Rattus norvegicus: one gene and its partner. The protein of the gene in region 1 purifies or fractionates together with the protein of each later gene. This does not show direct contact. Links are inferred from orthologs where the notes say so. Each region holds a gene or a part of one and is shown in the gene's direction. Other genes may lie near its edges.

What was found. Proteins that work in one complex are often made in the same cells at the same time.
Region 2: the proteins of Gtse1 (region 1) and Acad11 purify together in Homo sapiens (co-immunoprecipitation; 3 studies listed by BioGRID and IntAct, counting the BioPlex papers as one, with this or other methods). This does not show direct contact. The link is inferred for Rattus norvegicus from reciprocal best matches to the Homo sapiens genes GTSE1 and ACAD11.

What each region holds. Positions count from the first base shown.
Region 1 is NC_086025.1:118,836,614-118,840,185, forward strand, and holds part of Gtse1 (G2 and S phase-expressed protein 1), read left to right. Parts: intron 1-585; coding exon 586-960; intron 961-3,572. UniProt on the Homo sapiens protein: May be involved in p53-induced cell cycle arrest in G2/M phase by interfering with microtubule rearrangements that are required to enter mitosis. Overexpression delays G2/M phase progression.
Region 2 is NC_086026.1:113,580,642-113,584,213, forward strand, and holds part of Acad11 (acyl-CoA dehydrogenase family member 11), read left to right. Parts: intron 1-221; coding exon 222-348; intron 349-3,572. UniProt on the Homo sapiens protein: Acyl-CoA dehydrogenase, that exhibits maximal activity towards saturated C22-CoA.

The sequences.
Region 1 (3,572 bases):
GTCTAGAAGTGCTCAGAGGCCCTTCTGTGGCCCATGAGTACATGATCAGGAGAATGCATGGCTGCCACTGTGCAGGAGCTGTGAGGTGGGTCTTTCTCTACTGACTCAGGACACTGGCACCGTGTGTTGTTTATGGTAGAGTCATAGAGTCAGATGAGATAGTGGGGTAGGACGTAGTAGGGCTAACATACCATATAGACATGGCTACAACGGTAACTATTCCCTTAAGTTTCCCCTTGAGTCTTCACTGTGGACTCACACAGTAGGTCCATTGCTTGTCGACTACACTGTCCACTTTCTTCTGCTCATCAAGGAAGCGAAGAAAGAAGAGCTTAGCCTTGTGAGTGCACACACAGGCTGAGAGTTAGACGGTACTCAGCTCAGGTTCACACATCCTGCTGGTCCTCACGGTCATCGCCTAATGGGCATCCAGTATGTCTGATGTTAGCTAGATATTCTAGAGGTGTCATTGTGTGTGTGTGTGTGTGTGTGTGTGTGTGTGTGTGTGTGTGTGTGCGTGCGTGTATGTTTTAAACTGTTTGGAAACTGGCTTGAGTAACCAGCCTTGATTATCAACTTTTGCAGCAAAGTCCAGTGAACTTTCAAGTATTCCCGCTAGCAGCTCCCGGCGTCAGTCAGTCACCAGCAAGTTGGGCAGAGTAGGACTTGCCACGTCACACCAGGCTTTGCCAGCAGCCCCTGCCAGAGCATTTTGCAGACAAGCCAAAAAGGCTGATGCTGCCCAGACAGTGGCAGAGCAGCCCAAGGCCCTCACCCCAAGTCCTCTTGCTCAACAACCCCAGACTCCAAAACACAAAGGACCCAGAGTGGACCTGGACACCGAGACATGTCAGTTGAATAAAACTGTCAGCATAAAACGACAGGACTCCTCTCTAGGCTGCAAGACAGAGGCCGTATCTACCACAACAAACCCATTTAAAGTGCCCCAGTTTTCTGTTGGTAAGTACAGCTACATTGGTCGGTTTTAAGATTTTGGGGAGGCTACTGGTGCGGCTGGTGCTGTTGGCTTCTTTAACTCTGACTCTGTCCAGGGTGTGTTCTGCCACCCTCTTGTGTCCATTTCTCTGGATAAGCCCGCCCCTGGCCTGCGTCTCTCTCACTCTTGTCATCAGTGTGGTTGTCCACAGGTGTGGTGGCTTTTGTCCCACCTGGGTGGTGAGAGCTTCATTGTTCTGTTGCTGTTGCTGTTCTGCTTCTGTGGTTCTGTTTTTAACCCCCTGGACTATGTTTCCCTTAAGGGGCTGAGCTTGGCAACCAGTGAATGTAGCCCAGTCTGCTCCGCTGTCACGGATGGGTCTGGAATGGGCGCTGTTTGGCCTGTTGCAGTGTGGGGTTTTGCACAGGCACTGCTAAGTGTCCTGTTGTTTGCTCGGCCCACTCAGGCTGGGGGCTGTGCTGTTCCTTGTTCTCCGTTAGTTGCTTGTCTCGACCTTGAGGCATCTTGCCTGCACAGTGCTGCCGCTGTGCAGCGCCCTTTCAGGAGATGCTACAGAGTTTTCTAGAGTCATTTTCTCTGTGTTGCTTCTCTCCAGCTCTCTGGCTCTCAGATTCTATACCTCAGTCCCTCAGATGCTAGCCATTGTCCTCTCAGCCAGTAAGACTGTCCTGCTCTGGTTTATCAAAACCAGCATGTTCTGCATAATGAGTTCCTGGCCACCCAGGACCACACAGTGAGACAGTGTTAAAAACAAAACCAAGTATTTCTCGTTTTTTCCTATTTAAAGCTTGGCTCAGGCTGGAGAGATGGCTCAGTGGTTAAGAGCACTGACTGCTCTTCCAGAGGTCCTGAGTTCAATTCCCAGCAACCACATGGGGGCTCACAACCATCTGTAATGGCATCTGATGCCCTCTTCTGGTGTGTCTGAAGACAGCTACAGTGTACTCATACATAAAATAAATTAATAAAAAATAAACAGAAAGCTCTTCACTGAAAATATTTGTTAGAAGAGTTTTAATACCTGTGGGTGTGTGTATGTACTGTGACACACCTGGAGTTCAGAGTATATCTTTTCAGAATTGGTTTTGTCTTTCCACAGTGTGGATAAATATAACATCTTTAACCCAGCACTCAGGAGCCGGAGGCAGGCATATTTAAATTCAAGGCCAGCCTAGTCCAGAAAACAAAGATGAGCCAAGACAGCACAGTAGACCCTGTCTCCAAAGTAAATAAATAAGTAAATAAATGAATAAATAAATAAATAGAACAGAGCCAGCAACAAAAGAAAGACATTGAAAAGGGTTGTCACCGGTCGGTGGGCAGAGGCAGGGGCCTTCTCTGAATGTGATCCCAGTTTGTTTCTTTCAGTCTCCAGAGAGCATAAGAAGCCCCTGAACACACAGCAGTAGTAAGGTTTGATGAGTGGTCAATGCTGAAGTCTTTCTCCTTGGCCTCTGGCCTCTGCCTTTGACTGCAGCAGGCTTCCTGGCTCCCAGCTCTGCCTGTGGTGGTGCTCAGGTGGGCACCCCAGAACCTGTAAGCAGAGAGGAGACTCAGGCACACCATGGCAGCTGCTCTGCTGGCTCTGGTTGGCCAGGGCCCTCTACTCACTGAGGGAAGCAGAGAAAGGTGCATCTCTGGAGTTCAAGGCCAGCTTGATCTACACAGGGAGTTCCAGGATACCTAGAGCTGCACAGTGAGATACTAGTTCAAAAAACAACTACACAACAACAAAGCAACAGTAGGAGGAGGATGGAGAAGAAGGAAAGGGAAACACATCAGACACAGTGGCTTCTGCCTATGATCCCAGTACAGGGGAGACTGGGGCAGGAGATCACAAGTTCTAGGCTAACCTGGGCTACAGAGTGAGACCATGTCCCCAAATAAAACAAAACCCAAGATTTTGGTCTTATCTGAATATCTTTCTTATGCTGTCATGTTTAAAGACAAAGGATCCTATGGTAAGACATCTTACAAAGAATATTTAAGATCTATTTTTTTGTGTGTGATTGTTTTGCCTGAATGTATATGTATACACCTTATGTATGCCATGCCCAGTATAGAAGACAGAACTGGGCTTTAGGTCCCCAGGAACTAGAATTACAGACATGTGAGTTGCCTCGTGGATTAGGGGGTGTGGCCTTGTTGAAGGAGGTGTGTCTCTGGAGGGTGAGCTTTGAAGTTTCAAAAGCCCACTCCGTTTGCAGGTAACTGCCTCATGCTTGTGGTTCAGACGTAAGCTCCCAGCTACTGTCCAGTATCATGCTCGCCTTCTTGCTGCAATGCTTCCTGCCGTGATGGTCATGGACTCTGAAACTGTGGGCCCCAGTTAAATGCTTTCCTCTGTAAGGTACCTGGGTTCTGGTGCCTTACAGCAGTAGAATATTGAAGACAGTTGGAGACGAGATTAGACAGTATTCTAGTTTGCTTTCTGTCACTCCGATAAACACCCAGGACCAAGGCACCTTGAGTTTATTTGGCTTACACTTCCACATCATAGCTCAGCACTGAGGGAAGTCAGAGCAGAGATTCAAGCAAAGACTACAGAGGAATGCTGCCTACCTGCCCAAGGCTGGTACCATTACAGCAGGCTGGACCCTTGCATCAGTTAGCA
Region 2 (3,572 bases), on another chromosome or scaffold:
CATGGGGCTGAGGTCACAGCTCAGTAGTAGAGCAATTGCCTGGTCTGTGCAAGGCTCTGGGTTTGCTCCCTGGAGCTGCTGGTGGCTAACTGAATAATGAGCCGAAGCCTCCCAGATGTGGCCGCTCCTCCTACGGATATCTTTGGATAGCTGGGGAGATTTTAAGAAATGTATAATGACGACTTCGGACACCTTTGTAACCTTTCTTTTCTTTTGCCCAGAACTCTCAGTACTGTACCACCACAGGCTGACGCAAAAAGCCGGCTGTTTGCACAGAGCAGGAGAGGCCAGGAAGTTCTCACTAGGGTGAAGCAGTTCATGAAGCAGCATGTCTTTCCTGCTGAAAAGGTACTGTGCTCAAGGACCCGGTAGTTCTTTCCTGACAGGCAGCGCCCCTCCCCCACCATCCCCCATTCTTCCACTTCCCTCAGTTCAGACATTTAGAGCTAAAATCTCCTGCAGGATACGCACATACGTCTATGGTTGCAAATCAAGGCAAAGGGACCAAGCAGTGAGGCCTGGATGGACTGGAGTGAAACATTACACCCAGCTGCCTTTCGATAAGGCGGTGATCTTCAGCTTTTGTTACTCTAAATGTGGATGCTTTGAGAATTTGAGAACCACAGTCTCCCCCAAATAGACGTGGCCTGAACTCTGGCCTATCATTTAAAGCCACATAAATACTAGCCTTCCTTTCCCTCACAAGCTGTCATTATAAGGGGTTACACTGAAGAAGTTCATGGATTGGACTGAGGAAACATTCATCCAGTAAAGAATTATGTACTGGGCACCAGAAGAGCAGCTGAAAATTAGAACAAGACAGACAGGGTTTACGCCCCTGTGGAAAGACAGGTGAGGAAGAGGCACTAAGTGCTGGGAAGAAGAGGAGGAGTTTTGACAGGGTGTGTATGTGAGGCAGTTGTAAAGGCTTGGTTCCGATCCATGCCTGGTAGAGGTTGGTGGCCTTGTGTGGCCTCAGTCCTTCCTTCTGCAACATGAGTAAGTCTGGTCCGCCTACAGTAAACCTCATGGTAGCTACCTGCAATTCTGAGGGTCTCGAGCTGGACTGGAGTCAAATGAACTCAAAAGATCAAGAGTCTCTCAACGATGTCAGAAGTAAGATGCATTTATAAGGACATTAGTGCTGTTGAACTGTAGGACTAGCTGTCATATTAGCAGATATCTTGATATGAACATTTATCATAGAGTGGGATACAGTTTCTTCAAAAACACTCAAGTATTACTTCTAAAATTGTCACCTCTCCATTGGCACTAATTAGCTCTGCCCTAGCTAGTGTGTGTCCAATTTTGAATTCAAAATTAAACTTTTGAATATCAAAAGGGGAGAACAGCACTTTTAATTCAATATAGTAATCTAAATTCACCAAATTACCCTTCCTAAAATAAAATTCAATTGAAGTTTTAAGACAATGGAATAAATTAGAGCAGACAAGGGGCCCACCAGAAAAGCTAATGCAAAGTAGATTTGAAAGACAGAGTGGGTCGTCCGAAGAACAAACAGACCATCATAGAGGATGTTTCGTCTTGAAGGAATTTTGAGAGGAAAGTGGGCTTTTCCCACAATGGAGAAGTAGGTGATTGGGTGACACAGAGAGCAAGGGGCAGAGAGAAGTCAAGGTGCTGGAAGAGTTATCCAGCTTCTTGGGCTGGAAGCCAGGGCCCATGACCATGAGTGAGCAGCGCCTTGCATTGTTCAGCTCTGTGTCCGCTCGCTCTGTGGAGTTTCAGATGGAGAGCCAGCTTGCCTATCAGTTCATCTAATTCTCATGTACTTATACTGAATCTAAGCCCGTCTGCCACATGCCTGCGCCTGCAGCCAGCCCAGACAAGCCTAGATTAGCAGAGGGAAGAAAGGGATTTGTTTTCTCTCTCATGTGCTGTTCCTGTGGCTGACACCGAAGCAGGGATGGGAGGGGTCGGAGTGAGGTTGTGGTGCCTGTGAACCCAGTGCTACTCAGCTGTTAAAATATGTGCGAAGAACTCACAGTAAAAGTAAAAACACAAACCCCGGACAGACTGTAGAAGGCGAAGGTTGGCCAAGCTTGTGTGGTAAGCAAAGCCACTCTGTGTTGGCAGAGCTTTTAAATCTGTGTTCCCACATCTGATAGCAGCAACATGTCATCACTCAGAAACTTGTAACGACCTGTGTAGTTTTATCCTGAAGATGATCGGAACAGCTAATCCCCAGCTGCGGGGCATAATCTGAAATGATTTGCAGAGAAGTAAATAGCTTTTCGCAAAATAAAAGAGAGAAAACAGTAAATTCTTTTCAATGTTATTGCAACCGAGGTGCCAAACCAACATTGGCATGTCTAGAAGATAATATTGTGTCGTATATTACAGCAGGACTCAACATCGTGCATCTTTAGCTACTAACGTTCTTGGTGGCTCTTTGTTTATATTTTTATGTATTTTCCATAACGAGAAAAAATAAGGTTGGCAGGACTATTTCTGTGACCTTTTGAAACTCCTCAGGTAGCCTAAAATGAACACAAAACCCACCTCTGAAACTGTATTACGTCAGTTCTTCCTTTTGAGAACCAGTGAGGAACACTAGCACTGCAGTGTGGGACAGAACAAGCAGCACAGTGTAGGGGCACACAGGTCAATGTGATAATGTTATCAGAAGTCAAGAGAGTCTCTTCATGGTCACCAGATGATCTGGGTAAATGCAGGGACCCTTGTGGAGTTCATGGTCTCATTATTAAAAGACTTTAAAAAATGGCTTCAAATGGAAGTTGCAGGCGATTTTATTAGACTTAGAAAGAAAAGCACCCACGGCAGTCACGTTCGGAACCTCCCTCTGCTCAGAGAGAAGAGAAGCCATGCCGTGCTGCTTACGGCATAATTAAAGTCACCACATGACACCAGACAGCCACTTGGCAGGGAAGGAGGCTACAGACAGAGAAGAGTGAGGAAACATGATGTGCCAGGAAAGGTGTGCTTAGGTTCAGGCCAACATCCGGGAAAGTTGAGTCAGAAAGATGGGCGGACCAAGCTAAACCCCAAAGTGGCTCAGCTCATAGCGATCTGGGCTAGGGGCAGTTAATTCTAGGAAAGAAAGATATAGTAGTTTATTAAAGGAGTAATTAATTATTCCTCCTATCTCTTTAGCATGGCTTAAGGTGAACCCACCCTCCTGGGGCATGTAAACACAGGTATAATTTGATTTCTCAGAACTGTAGGATCATAAAGAGATAGTCAGAATGAAGACATCATAAACATCTTTCATAATATATTTATTACCAAGCACAACAGCACTGACTTTTTATAGCCACCCTAGGAACAGGCATAATATGCAACTCCAAACAGAAAGGCTTCCAATCCTGACTGGCTTCCTGACAGATGTGACAAGCACTCTCTATCCTGAAGTCTTTGAAAATGCAGGGGCCTCTGCCCTGTACAGTGCTGGGACTCCAGATGAGCCTTGCTTCCCCAAGAGGAACACGGCAGTCCACTGCTGAGGACGGTGTCGTTTGGAAGAGTAATCTACACTAACTTGATGAAACACACAGAAAGTTTTGACAGTACCCATGACCTTTACCCCCATA